Oryzias latipes: one gene and its partners. The protein of the gene in region 2 interacts with the protein of the main gene of each other region in a pairwise test. Links are inferred from orthologs where the notes say so. Each region holds a gene or a part of one and is shown on either strand. Other genes may lie near its edges.

Region 1 (6,146 bases), on a different chromosome or scaffold from region 2:
TTGGATTACCTTTACTGCACGTGGTGTGCAGACCGTGTACGTTTGAAATGCTTTCAGCTTTTACTAATTAAGATGTTGATCTGGATGTTTGAAATGTTGTATACAAAATGGAAAAAAAAAACCTTTATTGATCCCACAAAGGAGAAGTTACTACCATAAATTAGGTAGTTTCCCCTTTGTGGGATCAATAAAGTTTTATTCTATTCTATACCAAAAATATTTTTACTAAGGCTGTCATTAGCTGCGGTTACATGTGCAAAATGTCTTTGATCGGATTAGAATTGAACTGTGTACCCAGAAAAACTTTATCCGATAATAACAAACGTTGACATACGCCACACTTTCGGTCGGAACAAATCATTTGAACATGCGCAGGACAGTCGTAAACAAATTTTGATCCGAACGAGTCTGACAGGCGCCGAGTATTCTGAACGGTGTGGTCACATGACGCATTTTGGTTCTGATCAGGCGTTCATTCCGATTACTTTTGTCCATGTAACCACGGCTACTGACTGGATGTAAAATCCAATCAGGTCCTCCACATCTGATAAAAATCGTCCTGAAAACATCCTAAAAATAGGCTAACATGGTCTTAAACTGTTTCCATTCTTAAGCTAACTAAAATATGTAGCATAGAATAAAAATAAAATCAACACTATCTGACATGTTTGAAAAGCGGAGAGGTAAAAAAGCAGATTTGGAGCCAAGCTGAATTTAGCGATAACATGTCTCTTTTTTTTTTTTTTCCCCTGGAATTCACATCTCTGTTTCTGTTGTGATCCCAATAAAAACTTTATTATCCCATTCCTGTGACAGTGGAAGACCCGTTGGATGACATTCAGGACAAGGATCACTGGACTTTCATGAAGCAGTACTTGCAGGATTGGCCTTTCCCCCCCCAGAGCCAGTACAAGGTTGGGGAGGTCATGAAGGCAGAACATCGGGGAACCCAGCAGGACTGCAAGGTTCTGCTCATCGACAGTAGCTTGTTGAAAGTCGTTTTCCAGGTTTGCACCCCCTCATTGTTTTCCTGTTTCTCTTTCTGTATTATAGTATCTTCCGCCTTTTTTTTGCTGCTTAACTCCTTCCATTTTTCAGCTATTTTAACCATTCAACTATTAAAATGTTCGGCTCTTTCAGCTTTTTCCAGCTATGACTTTTGGTCCTTCAAATCCTTGAACTTTTCAAGATATTCCAGTATTTCCAGGATTTTTGCCTCCATTGAAATACATGGAGAATCCTTGGTGCAGAAGCTCGCTGGTTCGAGACCCGGCTCTGGCATTTTTCACAAAAATATCTTTTATGATTATTGTGCTGTTTTCACTTTATTTATGGTCAACTTTGATGATTTCCTTCTTTTTTATGAATTATTTTTCCAATTATTAGCCTTTAAATTTTATTTTCATTCAGCAATATAGCATTCAAACCTGCATTTTCTTCTGGAAATGCAGATCTTTCTAGTTTCTAGTGTTATCTTTGTGTGGTTCCTTTTTTTTGTGAGCTTTTGTGGTTTGTGTGGTCTTTCCCAGAGTGACGGGCACACAGAGTGGATCTACAGAGGCTCCTTACGGCTGGAGCACATGCTGAAACTGAGGCGCTGGATGATGTCCAAAAATAAGAAGAAAACCTGATCGTGTTTATCAACATGTGTCTGAAGTTATTTCAGAAAAGAAGTTGCAGAAGGAGGACATTAATTGTCGAGGTGCGCTGTTATCGAGGAACTTCCTTGTGAACAGTTGAATGGATTTTATTTAGTGTCTCTAAAAGTAAAATCTACATCTGAAGCATCTGTGGACATTACGCTGCTTTACTTCACTTTTTGTTCACTTTGTATTACATTAATTATGGATTCATGCTTACTTTAATGTAGTTTTTAGTCTTAATAAAATGTCTATTTTTCTGCTTGTTCTTCTTTTAGCCTGAAATGTGATTATAAGCAAAACATCTGCTGTTTATGACTGAAAAAATAAATGAAAAAAATCAAAATAAATTCAAATAATCTGCAATTATTAATCTTATTCCAATTTATTGTTATAGTTTTGAAAATGTTAATGTACTGGTTAGCCTCTCATTAGTAAACCGTCCGTTCTTGTTACAATTATTTATAAAAATCCCTTTGATTCTGGTCTGTATTTGTGTTAAAGACGCAAAAGATGGTTTTCATTATTTTTAAACATTAAAAAATGTGAAGGTCTCAAACTTTTTAAATCCATTTTTGATTTCATTCAAACTAAATGTTTTTATTTATTTAAAACCACGTTTGTTTGGAAAACAGTTTACTTACAGATAAAACAAGAGCAAATGTGGAACTTTCATTAATTAAAATGAATTATTCTTACTTTAGATCTAAATAATTGCTGTGTTTTGGATGGAAATAACGATTTTCATTACATTTTAAACCTGGAAAACATGAGGACAAATTTATTTTGGGATTTTTAAATTACGTTAAATTTACTTTTATATTGATTGTTCATTTTGGGGAAGCAACAAGGAACAGCAGCCACAAATAAATACATTTTTTAAAATGTGGCCAGATGTGAAAGTTTAAACTACCTCAAAATCAAATGTATTTATGTAATGACCAGATTTAGATAATTTGTTGCCCAATCTTTTTCTTTAAGTTTCATTCTATTGCAAACTCGCTTCCATGGAAATAAAACAATATTAATCTCGATAAGTATGATTTAATCCCAGATTAGAAAGGACTACGGTTTCCTAAAATGTCATGGAAGTATTTTGGAAAGAGGAGACGTCCTCGCGCGCGGAGGCGGGGCCAGCGGCAGCAATTTGAAGCAGAAGCTGCGCTGCCTGCCGCGGGCCTCAGGCGGACGACACCAACCGAGCACCAGGCTAGCAAGAATTTTGCCGAGAAATATTATCGCCACCACGGATTTCTTATGGGATAAACGCACAGGCCTCGCTGCTAAAACGGTAAATAGTTTCTAGCTTTCTTTCGTGTCATTTATTTCCAAGTTTGACGGCAGTTTGTACATTAGCTTGCTGTTACGGAGCTGATAAATCCAGCTAAGCTAAGATGGCGGTCTAGTTATTTACATTAGCAAGATGCTAGCATGGAGTAGCTACCAACTAAACACCGATATCTTGAATTTATATAGAACGCGTTTTTTCTGGTGTCATTTATCACCAGGTTTGGGTGCGGTGGTTATTTTTTTGTCGATCTTAACGTTTTTAAGAGTAAACAAATCAAATCATGTTTCAGACGTTACTTGGAGGACTCGGATTTTTTCCCCCGTCAATTAAACGATCTGGTTTAGCAAAGGTTCAAACAAACTTGATAGAAATGCTGTTAAATATACGGGAACTCAGAGCGTCCTGCTCTTCATTATCACTGTATTATGATTTTTAGTGTTGATAGTTTTTAAATGAACTGTCTGTTATTAACGGAGGCGGTTCTGCTGCTCGGAGTTAGTGCAGATGGTTTAGTCTGGCTCCTCTGATGTTGCAGTGTTGCTCCTGTGGGATTGTAGTTCTGGCTCCTGCAATCCCGCAGGAGCTGGGGTTGCAGTCTGGATCTTCTGGGGTTGTTGCAGTGTTGCTCCTGCAATCCCCAGGATTGGCTCCTGGGGATTTCGGTCTTGCTCCTGAAGAAATGCAGTCTGGCTCCTGCGGGGTTAGTGTCTTGCTCCTGAAGAAATGCAGTCTGGCTCCTGCTTGGATTGCAGTCTTGCTCCTGCAGGTTTGCCGTGTGGCTCCTGCGGGGTCTCGTGACACATTTTTATGTTCTCAATCAATGCAGCTATCTCTGAGGAAGCCGTCCCAACCCAGTTACACTTGGATTAAAATATATGTTTGGGATTCCTCATAAATCTGATACCAAGATTATTCATCTTTTCATATAATTCAACATGTAAAATATAAGTCTTTGTCCAGTTTTGACTGATGATGGTTTTTCTGTGGATTTATCGGTTTTCTTTCTCTCACTCCTGCAGATGCCTTACACAAGACGGTATTCGTCTTCTGACAGAGACAGTCGGACCAGCTACCCGGACCGCTACCGAGACAGAGGAAGGAGACAAAGGTACAGAAGATCACCCACCTACTCATCCAGCAGTGACCGAGAGCGTGACCGAAGAGGGCGGGGACACAGACCCAACGGAAGCTATGGAAGAACCAGGAGGTTTGTCTCCAAGAGCTGCAGTTTTTGTTGGTTTTCCTCTCCAAATTTCAAAAGAATCTCCTTTTTTGATGCAAATCTTTGTGTTTTTACTTGTCTTGTACAGTCGCAGCTATGACAATCGCTCAATGGAGCATCGACCGTACGACCGAAGATACTGTGAAGGATACCGACGACTCGATCCCAGCCGAGATCAAGACCGGGACCGGGAGCCCCACGGCACAGCTGAGAGCTTTTATCCACGAGAATTCTCCCCCAACTTGTACGACTACCGACGCGGCCGTGAGAAAGAGCGGGAAAGGTCCTACCAGAGGAAAGGCAGCAGGCGTAAGCACAAACGAAGGCGGCGTAAAACCAGGTCCTATAGCCAATCCTCCTCGGTGAGTACGACCATGTCTGAGACGGTGCTTTAGCGCTTTCTTCATCTTCTCCTCTTCAACCTTTCTTCTCTTCCTTTAGTCTATCTCTTTCTCTAACCGTTCCTTTTTTTACAGCTTGTGGAATTGGTAAGTAGTATATTTTATGATTTGATTTTGTTCTGTTTTTTTTTTATTACACTTTTGCAGAAATTGGCATTCCGTTTTCAGGGCATTTTCATTTTTTGGCAATAACATCTTAGTCATTCCTTAGACCAAATTTTGGAGGTTTCTTATTCCTAAACATCTAATCAACTTTTATTTTGTAGTGGTAGTTGATTTCTAAGATTGCATAGAAAAGTGAAAATGTTCTTTCAAAAATCATAAGTAGCCTTTAACAAATTTGCCCTTTTAGTTGTTTTTTCTCTTTATTCTGTTAATTAAACCACACCTTTAAGGTAGTTTAACTTGAGGAACTCCTAGGTAAAAAAAAATGGATGTGGTTCATTTTTGGAAGTATTTCTGCTTGAGCTGGTCTCCTTCAGTAACTTTTTTCTTCCATCGTTCTTCCAGAATGTCAGTCTGAAAAGTTTTTTTTTTTGATAAATGCCTGTTTTTATTGGTTTGAGATGATGAATGGAAATGCCAGATGCTTCTTTGTTTGTGAGCAGTCATGGTTTGGAAGGTAGAGGGGGGAGAGGAGCAGAGGACGACAAATGATGTTTTACTTTCCTTGCACTATATCGTTATCTATTTCCTTCACGTGCTGTCATGCGTGAATCGCCCCATGACCACGAAATCCACCTACTACTACTACCACCACCCTCCTCCTCCCTCCTCATCCACCTGTGCCAACACTGAAACCCCCGCGTCCCCCCCCCCGGTCGTGTTGTGACCTGCTGATGGCGGTCTGGGTGAAAAAACAGAGGAGCAACAGCCGGACGCGGGCACTGAGTGTGAGGGACGACGAGGAAGGGCACCTGATCTGTCGGAGTGGGGACGTCCTGCAAGAGAGATGTACTCACTGCCACTACTCTATCGTAACCCTTCTCCATATGAGTATTACAGCATAGAGCATTTACATGACACAAGGAGTGCCTGATGACGATGATGATGATGATGATGATGCCTTGCTAGAATGCTCTTCGCTCTTGCTGAATTAGCAGGGTGGACTGCAGAAATGTTGAACAATTTAAGATGGACTATAGCTTTATTTTCTTCTCCCACCCCCCCTACTTTAGCCGCTTAGGCTGTGGAGCATTTTTCCGTTTCACAGGTTACTCGACTTCGCTAGAGTTCACCTTGTAGTTGTGAAGCTCAGAGCTTCATCTTATCAACCCCAGCTTGTCTGTTGTTTACAGGGAATCCACACAGTTTAGCAGCTCGCATTCAACACTTACTGTCACTTTAGCAACACTTTAGCCTTTACCACATTGACATCACACTTTTAAATTCATTTAGAACATCACGACGATTCAAATTTAGTCATTTAAAGAGTGGAGTGCCTTACGGCTGCCTCCTCTGTTAATTACGGATCAGAACGTTAGACCGGGTAGGCGGCTGTCTTCAGACTGGGATGGGCGATCAGTGACATGCCTGTCTGTCTATACGTTGTCGTTTGCGGTCGTCTAACACCTTTCTTCTTCTTTTGCCCC
Region 2 (6,112 bases):
TCTAAATGGTATGGCTTATACTTATATAGCGCCTTTCTTCCTACAAGGACAAAGCGCTTTACAGTCACGGACCCATTCACCCAGTCACACACACATTCACTCACACATTCAGACACTGGTGGCGGCTCCGCCAAACACAGGCGCCCGCCAACCACCAGAGGCAAGGTGGGGTTCAGTGTCTTGCCCAAGGACACTTTGACTCATGGGCCTGCAAGGCGGGAATTGAACCTGCAATCTTACGATCAGGGGTTGGCCACCCTACCGCTGCACCACGGCCGCCCCAATCTAATCATCTTCTCCAGAGTCACTGTCAGACTCTGAATTTTCAGAAATGTGATCCTCCAATTCTGAAACCTCCTCTTCTGAATCGTCTCCCTCTACATCATCATCGAAAACGTCTCTCTCTTCTAAAATCAATTCCAGGGCCCTCTGCGCAGAAAGTCTTTTGGCCATTTTGATCAGTTGTGATGAGAAACCACACTGGCAAAGCTATATTTATAGTGTCCCGCCTCCAATTTGTAGCAGATCTTTATCTGCTATGTGAGATATTAAAGATTCCCGCAAGAAAGTCAAATGATCAAATGTGCGGGAGAACGAGAGCAAACAGAGTTGATGCTTGAATTATTCTAACAATGTTGCAACCTTGTGCGGGAACCGCAGGTGCAGAAACAGAACTCACATTTACAGTGAATCTTTCTCTCTCTGCCACTCTCTCTCTCTCTTTCTCACTGGTCACACACACACACACACACCCACACACACACACACACAGCAGGCCCAGACAGGTGGAGGACAGAGTGTAGGTACATAAAAACATCAATTTCCACACTTCTATTAGCCCTGGGTCCAGTGGACCCGAACATCTTATATGTAATAGAAATGTGTTGGGGGGGGTATACGGTGTGTGGTCATTAAAAATGTATTCTGATATCTGTTCTTCACAGAAAATGAGCCAAGGCCAGTGAGTCTGAGTTTGAAAAATTAATTAATTGTATCATTTTTCTTTTGATAAAAAATGAAAACGGGTCCCACAGACCCGAACACCACATAAGGGTTAAAAGTATTTTTGTGACTAGAAATCAGAATAATAGTTGAGCCGGATCACAAGATGACAGAAATCAGAATCAAGATGTTTCATAGGTTTTATTCTCAAAATTCTTCAAAAAAAAAAATCAACTCGAATGAAGGAATCACAAAATCTTGTTAGATGTCATCAGACATAACATAAAAACTACAGTCAATTTTCAGCACAAAATTTAAAAAAAAAGAAAGAATTTTTCTCGTCTCCTTGTCACTACGAACTCAGCTAAATTTACTGCAATTTATATAGATCCTTTGTGTCCGAGGAGCCAGGAAATGCGAAAACTGCAGCTGATCTGCGGCGAGTATTTAGAGTAAAGACAACTTTCTATCTGGAGGAATTTGAGCTTGAACGAGAGCGATGGCGCCTGCGGCCAGGAGACCTAGAGCGAGAGCGGCGACGTGGTGGCGAGCGCCTCCTTGGGGAGCGTGATCTAAACAGGCACAAAAAAAGGACGAGCATCAGTAGGTGGGAGAAGATTCCGTTTCAATGGACCGCATAATAAAACGTTAAAAATATTAAAAAGGTACAAGTGAAAGCTTTTAAATAACCTTCTTCTCATGCGTGGTGGGCTGCGGCGCCACATCGGTGGAGGTGGCGGCATTCTTCGAGGAGGAGACAGTCTACGTGGAGGACCACGGATCAGCTGAGTCAGCACAGCAGCTGCAGTGATTTCCTGCCCGTCAATCTGACCTAAAAAAGTCATCAGGAAGGTTTGTTTTTACCTGACCAAGTTTATGTTCGTCAATATGATTTCTCCAGCCCCTTAAATGATTCTTTCCTACCTCCATCCATGTGTTTAAGAGCTTTCTGGGCTTCTTCAGGGGTCTCAAACTCCACGTAAGCAAAGCCTTTGGTCAGGTTTGGGAAGAGCCTTTCCACCGGCATGTCAACCGCTTTAATTTTTCCATATGTAGAGAAAATCTCCTGGATGTGTTCCTAGTAAATTGAAACATACATTTAGTTTTTAACCATTATTTTGTGAAGGATTGTTCCATTAAAAAAAACTAAAAACAAAATATTTAGCTTTTTATTTAATTCTTGCAGTTTTAGGCGCACATCTTGACAGACAATAAACATAAAGAATATTTCATTCTAACTAGTTATCATGAAAAATAAGATCTGCTTTTATTGAATTAGAATTTTTTTTTTAAAAATCAAAGATTTAGCTTTTGTTTGTTTTTTTAGCTTGCCTTGGTTACATTCCTGGTCAGCCTTCCCAAGTGAACCTTTGTGGGTTTAGGGGTGGGACTTCTTTTTCTTCGTTCTCTTTCTTCTCCTCTCTTCTGTGTTTTAGAACTGCAGGATAAAAAATTACAGAATAAATATTGTCAATATTTTTGAGATACAATATAAATATTTGTCTCATGTCTGAGAAAATGGACTGACGGAGATCGTGAACGGCGTCGGTTGTCATGGCGTCTGCGGCTGGGACTTGGAGAGGCCGAAGAGCTGGAGGAGGAGGAAGACCGAGAGCTAGAGGATCCGGAGCGACTGGAAGAGGAGCTGGAACCACTTGAAGAACCAGAGCTAGAACCAGAGCTGCTGCTGGAGGATGAGCTAGATCTAGATGTGGAAGGTCAAAAACAAACAATGATTTAGTTGGGAATGAACATCCAGGACAGGATGCTATATTATATTTTTAAATATAAGAAAGAAAAAATAGCTCACCTGCTGCTGCTGCCTGATGAAGCACTGCGGCGTTTCTTTGCTTTGTCGCGACCCCTTTCCTTGTCTCCTTCCTTTATTTTTTCTTTTTCCCTGTTTTTCTTTTCATCTTCCTTTCGCTTTATCGGTAATGGTGCCCTGATGTGGCGAGAAAGCACATAAATTAGAGACCTAGAAACCTAAAAAAGTGATTATGTCTAGGTTTATGTAAAGGATTGTGATTTATGTTTTTATTGGATAGAGAGAAACAGCCTTAAAATGTGCTAGATACAAATTTTTTGCACCAAAAAGGTCATTAATTAAATTTAACTCGTTAATTACTTGAATATATATAACTTTTTCATTTCATTTTTATCTAATTAATTCAAAATTGTTTCGGTGTTTTTTTTTTTTTTACCGACATTTAACATGTGCACAATAAATTGTAATTATTTTAAGCTTAATTCCAAATGTTTAGGACCGTAAATTACATAATATTTTCCCTTACACTAATATTTTCATTCAGAAAAAAAAAAACCTTCTATTTGGACTCGTTCCCTCGTTGTTTTTTTTGAGCACAACAAGGGACTAAACTACACCCGCGTCGCGGTTAAACGACTTCTTCCTTTATAAGGAACTTTCGCGCAAAATAAAAAAGCCTCCGAACTTACATGTTTAAATCAACAAGTTCCGCTATTAAAGCTATTTAGATCGAAAATACGTAAAAAGGTTAATCTTACATTCCAACGGCCAAAAATGGCTTCACTTGCGGTCTGGTGTGAGGTCGCGAAGTGATGATGAAAGCGGATGTTACGTAATTTTTTATTTTAACTTTAAACAAACGCACACACAAAAGCTACAACAGAAAAAAAGAAAAAAGAAGAAAATAGAAATAAATAAATAAATAAAAATAATATAATTGTAGTTTACAATACAAGGGATTTTCATACAACGCGTGATCTTCAATGAAAATAGACATTTTATTGCATTTTTGCTTTTTATTAATATCAGAGATTTTTAATATAAACTGATCTCAATATGAAATGTATTGAATAATGGTTTTGTTTTTGAAAATCTGCTCTCATCAATGAAAAATTTCCCAGATATTAATAAAGTATTGAATGTCAAATCAAATATATTATCAACAGAAACTACTCCAAATAATATGATCTGCTTTTGTAATTGAATATAAATAGGAAAGGGAAACTTTGAGGAGCAACAAGAAAAGAAATTCTCCCAAAAACTGTTAACATATATACATTCAAAAAAACAGATGATCAAGTGTTTCTATATTTATGTCACAGAAAGAACAGTTATTTTCTGGAAAACCAAAACGTATATGTATAGTAGTTCCTTGTATGGATAGACTGCATACATTATTTTAAAATGGATTTCTTTGTATTTTGGAAAAATTTAATATTTAGTAAATTCAGATCTTAAAACGATATATATATATATATATATATATATATATATATATATATCGTTGTTGTTTTTTTTTTCTTGCCAACTTTTTTTGTAAACATACACGACACAAGTGTGGATGAATGAAAAAGTTATAATACAAATCCATGCAGACCTTACATATAGTCACAGCACTGGAGCATCGCATTTTGAGTTATTGTTGCAATTTTTTAAATATGTACAGTCTAATCAAAAGATTTTTAATAAATATTACAATTCCAAAGTAGGTGACTGAGTTTTTGGGTTTTCTTTCACAGAATGTTAACAAACTTTAATATATTTTACAATGTTAAATATCTTGACTAGTATTATTCTGTGCAGAAATTGAGAGGAGATATCGCTCATCTTGTCATTAATCAACTATTTCTGATGCAATGAAAGTTCTTTCCATAGCAAGTCAGAGACAAAAGTATTTCACTAAAAGACAACAAAATGTTCTGAAATAACATCTCGTTGAAACAAGGCACATATGACTTTGTTATTCTCCTGAGTAAATTTGAAACAAGATTTTCCAACAGGGGTGTAACTGATTTTCTCTTTTCATCTTCTTTATTTTATGGTGTTGACATTTAGACTTCGAGTCCATAAAAATATGTATTACTATATGTTAGATTAAACTCCTCAGTTCTAAACAAATGTCCTTTTCTGTCAAGGAACTGACCCATATTATTGTTGAAATTATTATGACAAAAAATATATATTTGTTTTAGTAAATGATGTATTTCTTAGTCCAAATAAATAAATTATAAGTGAGGGGTGTTTATAAACAAGTGCCCAGGAAAGAAGTGTCTGTCAAAAGCAGAATTTTATAGTCATTTTGACAATGTTTTCTTTGTCACAGACAACTTGTTTGTTTGTTTGTTTGTTTGTTTGTTTGTTTGTTTGTTTGTTGACACCACAGTTACAGAATATAAAGCCACTCAAAATCCCCTTTGCAAAGGTTTGAACTTTCATGCAGACTCTTGTGTGATGTATTTCTTTTCCCCCCTGCACATTCAATTTGTTGGTGTCCTTAACCATCCAAACCTGCAACATCAGCTTAATTATATTTGTTGAAGTAAAACTGAACCATAATTATAAGTTAATTCTCATTTCTTACCAGTGTGATTCAGTTCGTCGCTAGATTATGACGAAAGCGGAAGTTACGTTTGTAAACGGGTGCCACTCACAACTTCATTTGTTTTTTTAAGGTGTTATGGACGTTAGCAGCTTGCGTATTCGGCTGCTGCATAGCTATGCAAAGGGGACCTAGTTACTGTGGTGCGTGAATTACGCTGCTCGAATTCGAAGCACGGACATTGCTTCCTTCGTTTCTTCAGGTGAGCGTCCCACTTTACAACAGCGGAGGTTGTTAGCTCTAGTATCTAAGCTAATGTTATAACTCAACCGTTAGAAACAGGTGTGAAAACATTGCAGTTACCTATCATTTCAAGAACAACTGTGATATTAACTGTTTATATCCATATATCGTCTATTTAATGATGCAATCCTTATTTATGCGTTATGGCCACGTTTTTTACGTGTAACTTAACTTAAGCAATGAGACACTTAGGTTTTAAAGTAAACTTTATTGATACTAAATCAAAACAAACAGCCTGAATAAACAACGATTCAATTTTGATATTTTATGATTATCGTTAACAGAGTAAACACCTCACGTTAGTTTATCAAATATTTCAAGATAGAGTTAAGTAGTGAAATGTATTATTGTAAAAACAAGGGAATAAATTAATCAAGAATAAACTCAGTAATAAAAATTAACGAAATAAAACAAAAAGGAAAGCAGGTTTTACAATTTTCAAAGTAAATGTATGATATTACAAGGTTAGTACATATGAAATGGACAGAATTTTGAGAAAACTGTTTAGAAAAGGTTGAAAACTACTGAACATTTATGACAGTGTTTTTAATCCTCTAGAG
Region 3 (6,160 bases), on a different chromosome or scaffold from region 2:
GACTCAAAAGAAAAAATACTTCTCATTTGCTGTGATTCTTGTTTTCTTGAAGAAAAGCCTGAATACCCGTTTTGAATCCTTTCATTCTTCTCCCACTTCTTCACACAATAGACACATTTCAGAAAAGAAATTTTTCCAGAGTAAGTCAAGTTATGTTCACTTATTTTAACAATGACAATGCTCTGTTACTTTGGTAAATGAAAACAAGATTTGAAATAGTTTTTCAAAGTCTCCCAAGTTTCAGTTCAGTTGTTCCTGAAACAATTAGTAGTCGTGTTCTACTGAGAGACTCAGATTTACAGTTTTCCAGTGAAGTACACCACCTTACAAGACTTGGTCTGCAGAGGTGGAGACTTGATGAATAAATGTGCATGGGGAGGGAGGCTGTGTTCAGAAAGAAGTGGAAATGTGCTTTTTAACTACTCTTGTAGCATTGCTGATTTTTAAAGAAAGCTGACTGACTGATTTTATTAGAATGATTTGGGGAAAAAATCAATTTTATTGTTTTGAGAAGGCTTTTTTTTTCACCTGAAGACAGATTAATAGACAAAAGCATTGAGGGCAAAGGGTGTGGGGAATTCTGAAGAGGGAGATAAATCTGATGAAAGTTATTCTTCACAAAGATTTTTAAAAATGCATCAGTTTATTCGGAATATCTGAATAGACCTAAAAAATCTGTTTGACAGTAATGGCAAAAAAACTGGTCTGAACTTGTTTTAAAACTGTTTTTTTCATAAAATAAAATGTTCTCTTGCTCTACATTCTCGACTTGCTGTAGCAAACACATTTTTAAAGTTTATTGGAGGAACTAAGGGTTGATTCTGTTTCTTCTGGCCTTCAAAATATTTCCAGATGAAAGTACTTTATTTCCTGGTGTTGAGTATTTTACAAACCTTGACAATGTCTGTTACTACTGCGTGCTTCTTGACACTCATATTCAGTACACCACTTTTTTAATTATTTTTTTTTCTATTTTTGTTTCAACGTAACCGACTAACATTTTTACCCATTTATTCAAAAAATTATTATTCTACATCAATAAAAATGTGTTCTTTTCACATTTGAAGTTCCATCCATCACGTCGGGTGGAAACGGATTAGATGGCGTTTTGGGGAAGTACATTTCGGCGATGTATGAAGGAGAAAGAAACTTGGTGGAAAGGTTTGGCAGCAATGCAGGGGCTGCAGATTTGTCCCTCTGGTTGGGCTTCAGGTCAATAAATCAATCAAAATGTAACAAACTGAAAAGTAAAGTAAATGTAGAAAATGTAATTTTTTGCACAGTGTGTACATTGCGTAATGAGTTTAAATGGATCTAGGGATGGATCCTAGGATTATAAAACAGAGTACAGGTACTGTTGTGGTAATAGGGGATACAATTGACTTTGTTTTTGTATAAAAATATATTTTTTTCTAAGAAAACATAACATAGTCACTAAAATTTTAAAAATGATTTTTTTTGTTTAGAATTTATAATATACTTCTTCATAACACAGTGCAGGATAAAGAAACGGGCTGCACGGTGGCACTCTTGCCTCCCCCCCTGCTTGGGGACCTGACACAGAACAATGGGGGACCTTTCTCTGTGGAGTTTGCATGTTCAATCTGTGCATGTGTGGGTTCTCTCCAGGGTCTCCGGCTTCCTCCCACCATCCAAAAACATGCTCCATAGGTCAGTTGGGAACTCTAACACTCTCTGTCCCTGAGAGTGAATGGGTGTGTGATTGTGGCTCTGCAATACTGGCGATCGGTCCAGGGTGTCCCTTGCCTTGCTCTGGCAGCCCCGTGACCCCAAGATAAAACACCAGAAGATGAACGAATGAATAATAAAGATACAAATTGGTATTACTCTGATATAAAATATGAGAAATTACTCAATGGATCTTTACAACTCTGGTTAAAGGCGGCAAAAGAGAAAACTGTAAATGGCTTTGGACCTCAAGAAAAATAATACAATTTACCAAGGGTTAAGGTTTATTTGTGATTTACTTGTATTGTGTAAACTACATTTATGAATGATAGTGAAAGCTTTAAAGATCTTTATATATGATAGGTTTTTCCCCTGAATATTTGAAGCTACATTTCTCAGTAAATCTTGTATAATATTATACTTAATTATTTTTTGTCGCATAAATAGCTTATCAGTTGTTTTTGTGCACCAAGGTTGGTTAAAAATCGGATATTTGCTTCCTTTTAGCAACTCTCGTAGTAAACCTAATAATGAGGACCAATGTTTTGTTAATGTAAAGGCAGCCTATAAATATGTGAAATGCAGAGCTAGAACACAAAATTTGACACAAACACATCTAAATAATACTACTACTAATAAAAATCTACATCAATCAGATGACTAAAGAACTGGGGGAAATAAGATAGTTCCAGATTGTTTCTACTAGTTTTTGGAAAAGTTAAATACTTTTAATTGGCGGCTATTGGTTTGCAGGTGAAAAACGTATATGTTTGGACAACATAACATTGATTGTACATGAGAACAGTCAATGCTCCATAATTAATAAACCATCAAGCCCCGTTGAATTTATTGTGCAATCTTCGGAACACAAGATAATAGATTTTAATGTGTGTATGTATTTTCTATGTGAAATTTTACAACACCCTGATTATATGTCATTGTGTGACCGTGTTCTTTCAATAAACTCTTTGTTTACTGCTCTGTTCTTAACCAAAAAATAATAATGATGAAAAAGAAATTACAAAAAAGGACAGGAAGTAAGAACTGCAGTACAGGAACCGGAAATAGCTTATCTTGTCGTTGATTGGCTGTTTCTGGAACTTAGTGAACGCCCACCACAGAAGAAGCTAGCTACAGTAGCGTGTAGCTATTTGGTGGAACAGTCGAGAACAAGTTCAGTAAAAAAAAAAAAGATGCCTCGTGTTTACATAGGTCGTTTAAGCTATCATGTTCGTGAAAAAGATATTCAACGATTTTTTAGCGGATACGGTAAATTACTGGAAGTCGATATGAAAAATGGGTAAGTTCTAGAGATAAAATCGCACATGTTTGGCTAACGCTAAGACACCTGGGCATGTCTACGGCGTAGCTGCAGACATGAGGTGAACGCGTTTGAACTGTGCGCGTACATATTCAGTCACCGTTACATATCGCTTAAGGATTCCTGTCAGTGTTAAAATAAATACCGGATTGAGGGTAAAACGTCCATTTTCTCTGATTTCTTTTTAGATTCTCATATGTCAAACATGGCGTCGTTATTTGCTACATTTGCTAAGCTAACGTCGGCTAATTGAATTTATCCTCACTCAAATAATGTTCTTATTAGTGAAATGAAATTGTGATTCTTCTTTCCACAGCTATGGCTTCGTTGAGTTCGAGGATAACAGGGATGCTGACGATGCTGTGTACGAGCTGAACGGGAAGGAGCTGTGTGGGGAGCGGGTGATTGTCGAGCATGCCCGGGGACCGCGGCGAGACCGAGACGGCTACGGTGGGGGTTCCTCCTGGGGTGGTGGGCGCAGTAAGTGCAGTTATTTAAAGATACCACGTCTCTTCTTCTCCTCCATCAGTGAGGTTACAATGTGAGCTGCTCAGGTGATTGATAATGTAATAAAGCCCTTTTAACAGTGTTACAGTTTTTTTGCTCGTTAATTGGGTTATTGTTTGTATCTTTTTCTGTAGCAAAAAAAACTCATTTATTTTTGTACCACCTCAACTACTTGCGTATTAAATCAGTTATGCTTTATTACAGGGTTCCTTGTTTCTTTCTGAATCTTTTAGCTTGCAGATCTAACATTAAAACAACCTTAACTTTGTTTCTCCAAATCTACTACCTTGCTTAGTTTTTCACTTATATACCTGCTAAAGGTTTTTTTTAATCAACTGAGCACATCTAATCTAAGATAATCAAAGTAGGTACGACACGAATGTCTAGAAAATAACCAAGGTGGTAGATCCTGAGGACCAAGGTTGAAGGCTACTGCCCAAGAGGTGTTACCCTTCCCCTATTTGTGTTTAGGTTCGTCCTTATGGTGTTCAAGCTACATTGAATCAACATATGTCTACTCAGTTCAACCTGATTTAAATCGTATTGTAGAATAGAATATCTTTATTTATATAGCACTTTTCCCAGAAAGAATCTCAAAGTGCTTTACAGCAGAAGCATCAAATCAAAACACAAAAGTAATAAAATAATAAAACAAAACACTGTAAACATAGTAAAATAAGTTCTAAAATCAACTAAAAGCTCTCCTGATTAAAAACGTCTTGACCTGAGATTTAAAACACTCTACGGAGCCCCTCTGATGCAACAACGATGGGAGTTCCAAAGATGAAGAGCAACGGCTTGAAATGAGAGATCTCATCTAGTTTTAAAGCAGGTTTAAGGTCAGATGTTTAAGGTCAGATATTTTAAAAGGTCAGATATGTACTTCTGAGCTTGACCATGCAAAGCTCTAAAAACTAAAAGTAATTTTTTTAATTTTTAAATCAAAAGTAGATGAATGCTAAAGGAGCAATTTATTAATAGAATCCAGTTGAAGATAATGTATTGTATTTTGGTAAACTGTGAGCATACCTGTAGGAACCCTGTTTTAAATCAGGCGTTAGTGCTTTCTCAAATCTTATCTTCACTCTGATGGACTGCACTCGTCTTTTCTTTGATAATTTGATAATTTCCATTGTGTCAGTTTATTGTGAACCGTTTTCTCCCTGATCAAAACTTTGCACGGAGTCAAATCTTCATTTCAATGAGGAATAAACTGCTATTCTGAACTCAGGGCACTTTTAAGAGTAATGCTATGTATCCAAGTAAAAGTAAAAAAAAAAGTTGTGGAGTTCTTTAAAATGTTTTGATTAATGATGTTAAATTGTAAAATTAGTTTGATTAGAAATGTTTACACACAAATGACTGCAAACGTAGCTAGTGTAGTCTTTGCTGGTCTTTTTCTTTTTTTTTTAGGACTTCACTAACATTTTTATGAAATGTGTTTGTTAACCTTGGCATATATATATTTTTTTATATATTAAACATTAACAGAAGTCCTTGATGTTTCAATTTGAAAGAGTCCTGTTGCGGGCTGAGGCTGAGAGTCCATTGAGGCTAAAGATGACTGGCTAAGATGACTGCCTGTCCCGTTTGGCCTTGGCTTTCACCTTACAATGTGTGTGTGACCTTTGCCCCCCTCTTGATCCTTGGCTGACCTAACCGGAAGCCATGATGACAGCAACCTTTTGCCAATAGACCAGGGGTGATGGTGAGGATTGCCATTGGTTTCTATGTTGTCAGAAAACATGACTGGATCAGCTTTTTTTTTTTTTTTTAGGAAAATCAAAAAAACAATTTTGTAAGTATAAGCCTGAAAGGAAAGAAAAAAAGCATTTCAGACTTTTCCAAACTGTCCAAAAACAGTAAATGCTTTTTGTTTGGTCAATTTGATGGACCAGTCTCTTTAACAGAAACCTGTATGGATGCCTCATTTTTGTGTTAGTAGGTGCAGAGGTTAAGAAGTTAGAATGGCTTTGTTACTGGATACCAAAACAGATACAGTGGTGTTCTTGTAACTTCTGTATTTTTACAATTCAAACTTTAGAGCTCCAAAATGGCTTATTTGAACTTTCGACTTTGAAAATAGATGGATCTTCATTTATTTAAGTAAAATCCCCTTTGGAAATGTTACTTGATAGCCGAGCTCAGTAGTTCTTTTGCCCGTCGTATTAGCTTCCCATAACTGTTGTGTGCTTTCCTTTTTAAAGGCAGCGGTTACAGCAGCAGCAGCAACAGCAGCAGCAGCAGGACCCGCGTAGGCAGAGACAAGTATGGGCCTCCTGTCCGTACCGAGTACCGCCTCATTGTGGAGAACCTGTCCAGCCGCTGCAGCTGGCAGGACCTTAAGGTATCTGTTAAAGCGACGGATTTGGTCATGTCATCGGCGCATAGTTTGCAATTTTCTTTCTTGGCAGTGCATTTAAGCATGGTTCTAATTTTTTCTTACCCTATAAGGATTTCATGCGTCAGGCTGGAGAGGTGACTTATGCTGATGCTCATAAGGAACGCACTAACCAGGGGGTAATTGAGTTCCGGAGCTATTCTGACATGAAGAGGGCTTTGGACAAGCTGGATGGAACCGATATTAACGGGCGAAAGATCCGTTTGGTTGAAGACAGACCGCACAAGAGAAGGTCCTACTCT

The links.
Region 1: the proteins of rnps1 (region 2) and dual specificity protein kinase CLK2 interact in binary tests that used the Homo sapiens proteins (3 or more experiments, as listed by UniProt). The two-hybrid records come from large-scale screens. The link is inferred for Oryzias latipes from reciprocal best matches to the Homo sapiens genes RNPS1 and CLK2.
Region 3: the proteins of rnps1 (region 2) and srsf6 interact in binary tests that used the Homo sapiens proteins (3 or more experiments, as listed by UniProt). The two-hybrid records come from large-scale screens. The link is inferred for Oryzias latipes from reciprocal best matches to the Homo sapiens genes RNPS1 and SRSF6.

Annotation. Positions count from the first base shown.
Region 1 is NC_019869.2:6,674,542-6,680,687, reverse strand, and holds the start of dual specificity protein kinase CLK2, read left to right. Parts: upstream 1-2,775; 5' UTR 2,776-2,931; intron 2,932-3,950; coding exon 3,951-4,138; intron 4,139-4,241; coding exon 4,242-4,515; intron 4,516-4,629; coding exon 4,630-4,641; intron 4,642-5,417; coding exon 5,418-5,508; intron 5,509-6,146. Other genes in the region: histone-lysine N-methyltransferase SETDB1-B, read left to right, coding at 1-36, 817-1,007, 1,530-1,631. UniProt on the Homo sapiens protein: Dual specificity kinase acting on both serine/threonine and tyrosine-containing substrates. Phosphorylates serine- and arginine-rich (SR) proteins of the spliceosomal complex.
Region 2 is NC_019866.2:11,023,747-11,029,858, forward strand, and holds rnps1 (RNA-binding protein with serine-rich domain 1), read right to left. Parts: upstream 3,563-6,112; 5' UTR 3,471-3,562; coding exon 3,469-3,470; exon of another isoform or gene 3,402-3,468; coding exon of another isoform or gene 3,400-3,401; intron 2,888-3,399; coding exon 2,753-2,887; intron 2,648-2,752; coding exon 2,471-2,647; intron 2,381-2,470; coding exon 2,275-2,380; intron 2,021-2,274; coding exon 1,867-2,020; intron 1,775-1,866; coding exon 1,633-1,774; intron 1,515-1,632; coding exon 1,409-1,514; 3' UTR 1,125-1,408; downstream 1-1,124. UniProt on the Homo sapiens protein: Part of pre- and post-splicing multiprotein mRNP complexes. Auxiliary component of the splicing-dependent multiprotein exon junction complex (EJC) deposited at splice junction on mRNAs.
Region 3 is NC_019865.2:7,383,240-7,389,399, reverse strand, and holds the start of srsf6 (serine/arginine-rich splicing factor 6), read left to right. Parts: upstream 1-2,797; 5' UTR 2,798-2,882; coding exon 2,883-2,989; intron 2,990-3,326; coding exon 3,327-3,490; intron 3,491-5,724; coding exon 5,725-5,864; intron 5,865-5,971; coding exon 5,972-6,160. UniProt on the Homo sapiens protein: Plays a role in constitutive splicing and modulates the selection of alternative splice sites. Plays a role in the alternative splicing of MAPT/Tau exon 10. Binds to alternative exons of TNC pre-mRNA and promotes the expression of alternatively spliced TNC.